4 linked regions of the Saccharomyces cerevisiae S288C genome follow. The protein of the gene in region 1 binds, or shares a complex with, the protein of each later gene. Each region holds a gene or a part of one and is shown in the gene's direction. Other genes may lie near its edges. The genes, in order: MRPL51, MRPL36, MRPL39 and MRPL9.

Evidence for each region.
Region 2: MRPL51 (region 1) and MRPL36 share a complex: the UniProt entries of both Saccharomyces cerevisiae proteins name them as parts of the mitochondrial large ribosomal subunit.
Region 3: MRPL51 (region 1) and MRPL39 share a complex: the UniProt entries of both Saccharomyces cerevisiae proteins name them as parts of the mitochondrial large ribosomal subunit.
Region 4: MRPL51 (region 1) and MRPL9 share a complex: the UniProt entries of both Saccharomyces cerevisiae proteins name them as parts of the mitochondrial large ribosomal subunit.

Annotation. Positions count from the first base shown.
Region 1 is NC_001148.4:728,188-730,774, forward strand, and holds MRPL51 (mitochondrial 54S ribosomal protein mL43 MRPL51), read left to right. Parts: upstream 1-1,603; coding exon 1,604-2,026; downstream 2,027-2,587. Other genes in the region: LEC1 (Lec1p), read left to right, coding at 1-428; TMH18 (Tmh18p), read right to left, coding at 760-1,198, 1,295-1,341; YPR099C (uncharacterized protein), read right to left, coding at 1,570-1,926; SNT309 (Snt309p), read left to right, coding at 2,305-2,587. UniProt on the Saccharomyces cerevisiae protein: Component of the mitochondrial ribosome (mitoribosome), a dedicated translation machinery responsible for the synthesis of mitochondrial genome-encoded proteins, including at least some of the essential transmembrane subunits of the mitochondrial respiratory chain.
Region 2 is NC_001134.8:483,389-486,184, reverse strand, and holds MRPL36 (mitochondrial 54S ribosomal protein bL31m MRPL36), read left to right. Parts: upstream 1-1,681; coding exon 1,682-2,215; downstream 2,216-2,796. Other genes in the region: transcription factor TFIIIC subunit TFC1, read left to right, coding at 1-1,443. UniProt on the Saccharomyces cerevisiae protein: Component of the mitochondrial ribosome (mitoribosome), a dedicated translation machinery responsible for the synthesis of mitochondrial genome-encoded proteins, including at least some of the essential transmembrane subunits of the mitochondrial respiratory chain.
Region 3 is NC_001145.3:250,739-253,206, reverse strand, and holds MRPL39 (mitochondrial 54S ribosomal protein bL33m MRPL39), read left to right. Parts: upstream 1-1,690; coding exon 1,691-1,903; downstream 1,904-2,468. Other genes in the region: MIN4 (Min4p), read left to right, coding at 1-45; ERG6 (sterol 24-C-methyltransferase), read left to right, coding at 217-1,368; transcription elongation factor SPT5, read right to left, coding at 2,339-2,468. UniProt on the Saccharomyces cerevisiae protein: Component of the mitochondrial ribosome (mitoribosome), a dedicated translation machinery responsible for the synthesis of mitochondrial genome-encoded proteins, including at least some of the essential transmembrane subunits of the mitochondrial respiratory chain.
Region 4 is NC_001139.9:935,531-938,861, reverse strand, and holds MRPL9 (mitochondrial 54S ribosomal protein uL3m MRPL9), read left to right. Parts: upstream 1-1,978; coding exon 1,979-2,788; downstream 2,789-3,331. Other genes in the region: TOS2 (Tos2p), read left to right, coding at 1-1,738; exportin CRM1, read right to left, coding at 3,067-3,331. UniProt on the Saccharomyces cerevisiae protein: Component of the mitochondrial ribosome (mitoribosome), a dedicated translation machinery responsible for the synthesis of mitochondrial genome-encoded proteins, including at least some of the essential transmembrane subunits of the mitochondrial respiratory chain.

The DNA of each region.
Region 1 (2,587 bases):
TAATTTGTAGAGATGATATCGATATTGATGTCAAACTTTTGAAAGTTCAAGTTAATAATGTTCTTAATAAAAAGATTGGTGCGAGAAAAATCTATAAGAAGTTGTTAGATTTGAAGGTTAAACAAGGTACTAAACAAAATAACAAACACGCTGCTGGCATACTTCAAAAGAATTGGAGTGACATAAACTCCTTGGTTATGCCATCCAGCTCTGGATCTTTTGGACTTGGAGATGGTGATTTGGTGGATTTGGATCTCGATACAGGTGATTACGATTTTTTACATAAAGAGAATGAAGTTGAATTAGAAAAGCAATACAAAGATTTATTGAATCTTGTTGTTGATGAAAGTGAAATTGATAAATTGAGATCTCAAGTTTTCGCACAGGAATTAAAAAATTATTTAGAAGCTCAAATTGCTAAAAAGTAGGCCCTTTCTAGTATCTCCTTTATTCGTTTTTATTCGTTACGATTTTCCGGCTTAATAATATAGGATTGCTAGGTCTATATATAAGAAAAGCTTGTAGAAATAAAAAAATAGAAAAAACTTCAAGATAAATATTGTTCTCTTTTATTTTAAGATCCTACAAACAGCACAATTCCCCTTTTAGTTATTTTTAGCCAAGATCAGGATAGCAGAGAACTGAGTCCCTTATTCTTTAATTGAGGGTCAAAAAATTCCGATTGCGAACTTCATCTCCACCTTGGCAAAGGAATGACGAAAAAATGATCTTGCATATATATATTTACTTGTAAAATAATTATTTTGGAATTTTTCTTAACAAACCACCTGACAAACAAACACCGTACGCAAGCATCCCGCAAACATTAGAAAGATTGAACAAAAGACTCAATCCGTGCGACTTGCCAAATTCTTTACGTAATATAGCATCCTTTGCTTCCAATTCACTACCCGTGTATTTCTTCGCAATATTCTTTCTTTGTTCTTTAACTTTATGGGTCCAGGGCAACAACCAAAACAAATTGGTTAGCCCACTGACAGATGCAACCACCAAAGAAGATAATGGTCCTGTTGTCAAGGCAATTGGAGCGGTAAGGGCCAGGATGACAGGTGATGCCGCTTGCATTTGGAAAAAATACGGGAAGATCTTATTTTGCAAAGCAGAAAATTGGTCTTTTTCAAGAACTTTGAATGCGATTGGAGAAGCTACATAGGAATAAAACGTCGTTCCTCCAAATCTGAAAGATTAAGTTGGTACATAAAAGTTGTTAGTCAGTTATTCTCAATTAATCATAATTGTTCAAATTTTTTCTTGTGTCTTAATCTGTACATACACAAAGGAATAAAAAAGCAAATGAGCCGTAGTTTTGACTAAACACATTTTTCGTTGTTAAGTTTACTGGACTGTAAAGCGTAGTTTGATCTGCCTATATCATCAAACAACTCCATTTAACTCCCTTAAATAATACTATTCTTTTCTGTAAGTTTATCGCACTATACGTTACGGTGCTTTCCGTCTTTTTCGGATGAGGGATGCTCATAAGAATTACAACAAATCATAAGCCCTGAGATAAAAAAGATCAATCAATACGATTATCATAAACCATGACTAAGTAGATACACAGACACGAATATATGGAGAAATGGTTGTGAAAGCTATTGCACGAAATTCCATAGGTCGTAATGGAGTTGGAGCATTCGTGTTTCCATGCAGAAAGATTACTTTGCAATTCTGTAACTGGGGAGGGTCTTCGGAAGGCATGAGGAAATTTTTGACTTCAAAGAGATTAGATAAATGGGGCCAGGAGTTCCCATGGATACAGTTTGAAGTGATGAGGAAGTCTGGACATCCTTTGTTGAGGGCAGAATACACAAATGGGCGTGAAAAAGTTATTTGTGTGAGAAACTTGAACATTGACAATGTAGAAAACAAGCTAAAGCTATTGAAGGATTCTGATGGAGACATTTTACGCAGAAGAACAAAGAATGATAACGTGGAAAGCTTGAACAGTAGTGTGAGGGGTATATGGTCGCCTCTGCATGCTGCGAAAAGGCATAGAATTTAGCTTTAGTATATAAGAAAATTCTAGAAATAGAGAGAGATAATTATACTTGTATATATAATTTGGGGCAGATAAGACTCCTGATATTTAAGATTTAAAGTCAATTTTGCCATTGTTATATGATCATGTCCTGAAATATGACCTCTTGTATTTGGTTACCCGCTTTACACCCTGCAAATCACACTAGTCTAATAAATATGGAATAAGACTGAAACATATAAAAGATGTAACTTCTAGGATATCTGAAAGAGCAACCGTACGGTATTCAACGTTTAGATTTGATGGACGGCCTTAGCTTTGTTGATAAAGGGAAAATACCAGATGGTTACAAAAATGAAATAGATCAATTAGTAAAGAAGGAATTTGCGAATATAAAAAGAGAGCCTGTTCATCCCGAAATACGAGGTATACTTGCGAAGAGAAAGGGGGCCGATAATAGTGTTTCTACGCTTACAAATGCATTGTACACCGAATACTTGAAACAACGTAATAACAAAAAAAGGCGAACACCGGATTTTAATGACGACGATGATACTTTATTTTTGGAAGAGTATAGAAGGAAAT
Region 2 (2,796 bases), on another chromosome or scaffold:
CTGGATAATGTCCCCTCTGCAAGAGAGTTCAAAAGTAGCTTTGGCTCTCTGGAATGGAATAATTTCAAAAGTTTTGTCAATTCTGTACCAGATAATGACTCTCAACCTCAGGAAAACATCGGGAATTTGATCTTAGACCGTAGCGTTAAAATTCCGAGTACAGATTTCCAACTGCCGCCACCTCCTAAGTTATCAATGGTTGGTTTCCCCCTGCTTTATAAATATAAAGCTAATCCATTTGCGAAAAAAAAAAAAAACGGTGTCACAGAAGTGAAGGGAACATATATCAAAAACTATCAGTTGTTTGTTCATGATCTTAGTGATAAGACAGTTATACCGTCCCAAGCTCATGAACAAGTCCTGTACGATTTTGAGGTCGCGAAGAAAACAAAAGTCTATCCAGGCACTAAAAGTGACTCTAAATTTTATGAATCGCTGGAGGAATGCTTGAAAATTTTGAGAGAGCTCTTCGCTAGACGTCCAATTTGGGTTAAAAGACATCTTGATGGGATTGTCCCGAAGAAGATACACCATACTATGAAGATAGCGCTGGCACTCATATCTTATCGTTTCACAATGGGGCCTTGGAGAAATACATATATCAAATTTGGTATAGACCCCAGAAGTTCAGTGGAATACGCCCAATATCAAACAGAATATTTTAAGATTGAAAGGAAATTACTATCTTCTCCCATAGTGAAAAAGAATGTACCAAAGCCACCACCCCTGGTATTCGAATCAGACACTCCAGGCGGTATTGACAGCAGGTTCAAATTTGATGGAAAAAGAATACCGTGGTACCTGATGTTGCAGATTGATTTATTAATTGGTGAGCCAAACATTGCAGAAGTTTTTCACAACGTCGAATATTTAGATAAGGCGAATGAACTAACTGGATGGTTCAAAGAATTAGACTTGGTCAAGATAAGAAGGATAGTAAAATACGAACTTGGTTGCATGGTTCAAGGAAATTATGAGTATAATAAATACAAGTTGAAGTATTTCAAGACAATGTTATTTGTTAAAGAATCCATGGTACCCGAAAACAAGAACTCAGAAGAGGGAATGGGTGTTAACACCAATAAAGATGCTGATGGGGACATAAATATGGATGCAGGTAGTCAAATGTCCTCAAATGCCATAGAGGAGGATAAGGGTATCGCTGCTGGTGATGATTTTGATGATAATGGCGCCATAACTGAAGAGCCAGACGACGCTGCTTTGGAAAATGAAGAGATGGACACTGATCAGAACTTGAAGGTGCCTGCAAGTATAGACGATGACGTGGATGACGTTGATGCAGATGAAGAAGAACAAGAAAGTTTTGATGTTAAAACAGCGAGCTTCCAAGATATCATAAATAAAATAGCTAAACTAGATCCTAAAACCGCGGAAACAATGAAAAGCGAGCTCAAGGGATTTGTTGATGAAGTCGATCTGTAATAAGTAGGTTTTCTTTTATTTCAATATCAAAATATGCCAAATGTGCAATAAAACCATAACTACGTATGTGATATTTCTGAGTTTTGTCCCCAAACCGTAAAGAGCGATTATCTCGTGCAAAATGCATCAAAATCAAATAACTAAAATGAAAGGGTATCATTATTATTCCTAAAAGTTAAGAATGCCTCCAGAAAGAACGGGTACCAACGCAAACGAACACACGTTTTGTTCACTCCTAATGTTGAAGTCTATATTTGCGAAGCGATTTGCTTCCACAGGGTCATATCCTGGTTCTACAAGAATTACTTTGCCAAGAAGGCCTGCAAAAAAAATTCAACTGGGGAAGTCACGACCGGCTATTTATCACCAATTCAATGTCAAAATGGAGTTGAGTGATGGAAGTGTAGTTATCCGGAGATCCCAATATCCAAAGGGTGAAATTAGATTAATTCAAGACCAGAGAAATAATCCGCTGTGGAATCCTAGCAGGGATGACCTAGTCGTTGTGGATGCTAATTCTGGTGGTAGCTTGGACAGATTTAACAAGAGGTATAGCTCTTTGTTTTCTGTCGATTCAACGACCCCAAATTCAAGCTCTGAAACAGTTGAACTATCTGAAGAAAATAAAAAGAAAACACAGATTAAAAAGGAGGAGAAGGAAGACGTTTCTGAAAAAGCGTTCGGTATGGATGACTATCTATCTCTGTTAGACGATAGTGAACAACAGATCAAATCAGGTAAGTTGGCCAGTAAGAAGAGAGACAAGAAGTGAATAGTGTTTGCTCCCCTTACTTTTCTATTCTCGAACCAATTTATATTCCTTTTGGGACATAGATCTCAATCGCATCTGTTTGAAGACTACATAAACAGCCTTGTATATACCGCAACATATACACATACGTCTACATATGTATATATTGACAACGAAGATTCTGCGAACGCTTGGTTTGGCGCTATCGCGATAGATTAAGTGCAACAAGACACACATTTACAAACATAATATGAACCAGATATGATTCATGGATTATCGAGGCAAATGGTCTGTGAATGAAGCTCACTTACGCTGCAATAAGCAGCAACGGCATTGTAGTGATCATTTTCTACGCCTCGTAATATTTCAGCGCAGTGGAAAAAAATTGAAAATTTTTACTCTTCTCGAGTGTTGAATCACTGCTGCGATACTTATCACGTACTTTGTATACATAATTTTACTTGCAATTAGGACTCGAAATCTGTTCAATTACTTTTGAGGATTTCTTTTATTTTAGTTTCCCTTTTTGCATTCGTGTTGATTTTCAAGAAAAATTGTCGTTCTTCAATATCAGTAGACGATTTTACTCTCAGATTGTTAAA
Region 3 (2,468 bases), on another chromosome or scaffold:
CAATACTTGCTGTTGCCGATAACTTCTTCATTGCTTTTTATATAGTTCGGGTGTTTTCTCCTATCCTCTGCTGCTCTCTTTTTCTTTCCATTCGTCTTTGTAATTTATAAGCTGTTAATTTTCATTCAAGTTTCCCTTATCTGTTTTACTTTCGATTTAAGTTTTACATAATTTAAAAAAACAAGAATAAAATAATAATATAGTAGGCAGCATAAGATGAGTGAAACAGAATTGAGAAAAAGACAGGCCCAATTCACTAGGGAGTTACATGGTGATGATATTGGTAAAAAGACAGGTTTGAGTGCATTGATGTCGAAGAACAACTCTGCCCAAAAGGAAGCCGTTCAGAAGTACTTGAGAAATTGGGATGGTAGAACCGATAAAGATGCCGAAGAACGTCGTCTTGAGGATTATAATGAAGCCACACATTCCTACTATAACGTCGTTACAGATTTCTATGAATATGGTTGGGGTTCCTCTTTCCATTTCAGCAGATTTTATAAAGGTGAGAGTTTCGCTGCCTCGATAGCAAGACATGAACATTATTTAGCTTACAAGGCTGGTATTCAAAGAGGCGATTTAGTTCTCGACGTTGGTTGTGGTGTTGGGGGCCCAGCAAGAGAGATTGCAAGATTTACCGGTTGTAACGTCATCGGTCTAAACAATAACGATTACCAAATTGCCAAGGCAAAATATTACGCTAAAAAATACAATTTGAGTGACCAAATGGACTTTGTAAAGGGTGATTTCATGAAAATGGATTTCGAAGAAAACACTTTCGACAAAGTTTATGCAATTGAGGCCACATGTCACGCTCCAAAATTAGAAGGTGTATACAGCGAAATCTACAAGGTTTTGAAACCGGGTGGTACCTTTGCTGTTTACGAATGGGTAATGACTGATAAATATGACGAAAACAATCCTGAACATAGAAAGATCGCTTATGAAATTGAACTAGGTGATGGTATCCCAAAGATGTTCCATGTCGACGTGGCTAGGAAAGCATTGAAGAACTGTGGTTTCGAAGTCCTCGTTAGCGAAGACCTGGCGGACAATGATGATGAAATCCCTTGGTATTACCCATTAACTGGTGAGTGGAAGTACGTTCAAAACTTAGCTAATTTGGCCACATTTTTCAGAACTTCTTACTTGGGTAGACAATTTACTACAGCAATGGTTACTGTAATGGAAAAATTAGGTCTAGCCCCAGAAGGTTCCAAGGAAGTTACTGCTGCTCTAGAAAATGCTGCGGTTGGTTTAGTTGCCGGTGGTAAGTCCAAGTTATTCACTCCAATGATGCTTTTCGTCGCTAGGAAGCCAGAAAACGCCGAAACCCCCTCCCAAACTTCCCAAGAAGCAACTCAATAAATTCACTAGATCAATAAGATTCAAATAAAGCGCACGATATATACCTATTTTCCTATATATGCAGATAAAAAGATAGCACGTTCATTGCTAGCAGGCCTTACAAACAGACTGTCCGATGCCTTTACTACCCCACAATTTATCCCACTTGTGATTTTCAAGTTCGGCTTTTTTTTTTTTCATCATGTCGTGGCAAACGACCAGTATTTTCTATCAGAATAAGAAAAAACTATAATTCACTGCATACAAACGTATTGACTGCTCCCCTACAGCGGAAGATAGTAAGAATACAACATCGTAACTGTTTCCATATTTATGTGCCGATATGGTAAAAGTGAAATCTAAGAATAGTGTTATAAAGCTATTGTCTACAGCGGCAAGTGGATACTCTCGTTACATCTCGATTAAGAAAGGTGCACCTTTGGTTACTCAGGTCAGATACGATCCTGTGGTGAAACGGCATGTGCTTTTCAAAGAAGCAAAGAAAAGGAAAGTGGCAGAAAGAAAGCCATTGGATTTCTTGCGTACAGCCAAGTGAAGAAATATGAATAAGCACGAGCCCCGGCATGTAAGCCCATCGAATACGCAGACGTTACGCATTTTTTTTCATTTATCCTGTAAATAAGTAATGGATACATACATTTTGTATACGATTCAAACGGAAAGAAATTCCGCTAACGAAAAAGAAGTTATATAAAATTACATTACAATAATCAACTCCCTCATAATAAAGTTGATATTTCATTTAGATATGCAAAAACACATATGCATACATACATACATACGTATATGTAAAAGTTAGAATCAAGGAAAACTCGTGACATACAAATGCAAGCATAAATGAAAAAAAAAGATCGAGATTCAGTATTTCATCGAAACATCGAAATCTTCATAACTATTCTTATTAACGTGGTAATATTAAAGTCTTTTTTATTGATTTCTTCTTGGGTGATATTGGTTCTCCTTTTGGTGATTAATGACCTCCCCATGTACTGTTACCACCATAGTTTGACTTATTTCCTTGGTTGTTCCAAGCAGACCTATTTCCATCGTCTTGGTTACCCCATGCAGAAGCTCCGCCATCTCTTGTACTTTTATTATTG
Region 4 (3,331 bases), on another chromosome or scaffold:
TGCTGTTCCCATTGGTGCTATTATTATAGTACTATCCGTCGTTTTAATAGTAGTATATAGGAGATGCAAAAAAGAACCTTCTATGCAGGATTTTGACCCAAATTTTGAGGGCGATTTATACTATTTACCGAAGATGGATTCTTCTATGAATTCTGCAAACTCAGACAGCAATGCCACAGAAAAGAGGTTTATTTATGGTGGTTATGACGATTTTTTGCAACCGTCAATCGAAAACTCACAATCTTTCAAAGATTATGTGAGGCGTATCAATGAGCATGCACCCTCCGCTTATAATATTGCTTCACTGGCTTCGCAGAATAACAGCAAGTTATCGGTCCCCTCCAAGCACATTGACCTTTCGAATAAGATTTCTTTCGAATCGTTAGAGAATTCTGAGCTGATTGTTTCACCACAACACTCAAATACTGGGCAAGACTGTGATCAAAGATGTGATAGTACGTCAAATCCTGATGTAAATGAAAAGTCCAGCCATAACAACGATAATCGACTTAAATCGAATTATACGAGTCGTAGCGGGCTCGAGCCTCAGTGTTCGAGAGAGGAGGAAGAAAATATTGACAGAATAAGAAGCATTTATAACATTTATTTTGAGAAAAGTAATAGCACGATACGATCCTCTGTAACTTCTTCGATACGGCGTGACTCTAAATTAAACATCGCTACAAGAAAAAGTGTAAATATGAGCTCTCAAGACAATCCAAATGATACTACATTAATTGAACAGAGTCACTTCGGAAGTACAACTGTCCAAGAAATTGATTCCAGTTCCAGCGCCAATGAGGAATATGAAGATGCAACTGATTATCTGCAAGTGCCGGCACCACAAGAGAATAAAAACATTGCATCGTCAGTATATTCAGAAGTAGCAACCAGAGAAAAAGTGATTCCCGAATCGTCTCTATCTCTTACATTCCCACCACCGAATGGTCTTTCAACGAGAATTACCTCATCAATATATTCTGACACGGTCGCTAAGGACCATATTCACTCTGCAAAGGCTCCCGTACGGGCCCTTTCGGAGGGTTCGGGTCAGTCAAATCTTACTTCTGCTCAGCAATATTCTACATATTTTATAGATCACTGCAACCAGAGCAATGATGACAATTACTACTATAATTATCCCCTCCCGTTAGAACATCCTCAAAATTATGAGAACATCGGAGATTTGCCCACGCCTACCCAATTCATTTATTCCACCTCTTCGCATTCCTTGACGTCATTCAAAGGAAGGCCTAAACCTCCAAAAACACTAAAACATGTACCTACAGCTAGGCTTAATGGGACAGCGTTGAATCCAATGGATCATCCTGAAATGTTTTACAGTTCGCCTACGAAAATACCGTCAACATCTTTGACAAAGCAATTTTGTACGCCCCTTCCATATCAGCTTAGACAAAGTGTTGTTATGACCAACCCATCAGAACTTTCTATGAAACCTCGCTATAAGCCTGCAGGATCTTTAAGAAATTTAATAAAGGCCCAATATCTCCCTGGTAACTCATCCACTACAACATCATCTTCTTTATCACAACCGCCGTCAACGTTGTCAAATGCAATAAATTTCCGTGTTAGTGGGTTATTGGATGACACTGACATCTTGCAGCCTCCTAGTGTGGGGGAAATCTTACCTTTTAAAGCTTCTACGGAAGACTTAAGGAAGCAACTGGGCACATCCCATAATTACGAAATAACACCGTACGAGAATGTACATGTATAAATAAAATTCAAAATCATGAAATGTTGTAACAGTAAATAAGCACCATAAATTCGTTTCTCGATGATCCTCTTCTTTCCTTAATTGAAATGCTAATGCCATTTCTCCTATTACAGTCGCGAGATATTTGTTTTCGGGTAATCCCTTGTCAAACGAACTTTATTGAAAAATATATGGACGATAAATTGACAACTGGGACGAGAAAGGGCAACTCTTTGAAAGCAAGAGAGAACAAATATAGCCATGTCGAAGTTCCTACAGGGATCAATATTTAGCATATCAAAACTTCATGTTAGATATTCTTCTACTCGGCCTTTTCTAGTGGCTCCTAGTATTGCTAACAGTATAACAACCGAGGCTCCAGCGATTAATCACTCACCTGAACTGGCAAATGCGAGAAAATGGCTACCAAAAAGATGCGGTTTAATTACTCGTAAGAAGGGAATGATGCCTTATTTTGATAAATCTACTGGTGAAAGAAGCGCCGCTACTATATTAGAAGTTAATAATGTTGAAGTAATAATGCATAGAACTTCGGAGGTCAATGGGTACTTCGCGTGTCAAGTAGGGTACGGATCAAGGCATTTGTCTAAAGTTAGCAGACAAATGCTTGGTCATTTCGCTTCTAAAGTTGTTAACCCAAAAGAGCATGTGGCCGAATTCCGAGTTAAAGATGAAAAGGGATTAATACCACCTGGCACATTATTGAAACCCTCTTTTTTCAAAGAAGGCCAATATGTTGACGTCAGATCAGTCAGCAAAGGCAAAGGTTTTACTGGTGTGATGAAAAGGTATGGATTCAAGGGTTTGAGAGCATCTCATGGTACATCTATTATGCATAGACACGGTGGTTCTTATGGTCAAAACCAAGACCCAGGTAGGGTACTGCCAGGAAGAAAGATGCCTGGTCATATGGGAAACGAGCATGTTACTATCCAAAATGTTAAAGTTTTGAAAGTCGACGATGAAAATAATGTTATTTGGGTTAAAGGCTCTGTGGCTGGGCCCAAAAACAGTTTCGTTAAAATTCAAGATGCAATCAAAAAAACTTGAGCATAAGGCGTATAAGTATTTTACTACAATCATGTACATACATCAATAATAACAATAAAATGGGTAATCACTTAAGAATCTTCAAATAATATTCTTTACTTTTCCATGAAGTTGGCTAAATAGTATTTAGTACTATATTAGAGTATTGGAACTTTGAAGAACCAATTTACATACAATATGAAGTGAAAAAGAAATGAAAACCCCGTGGTTATAAATTAGAGACTAGTTAATAAAAGGGAAAAAATATTGGAAATTTAAAGAATGATACGCCACCGCCTCTAATCATCAAGTTCGGAAGGTTTTAATAACCCACCAATCTTGGCAGCTTTTTCCCTCTCTAGTCTATTCTGTTCCATTAATGCATTCTCTTTATCTTCAGCAAACAAATAATCTGTTGGATCACCTCCGACTTCTTTGATTTGCACCAAAAAGTCCCTCAAAGTGCCTTTGAAGACCACTAAGTCTTTGTATTGTTTAGTTAATGCAGAGAGAAAACTTGCGATTTGTTCGGATGTTAAATGGGGGAATGCATTACTTAACATA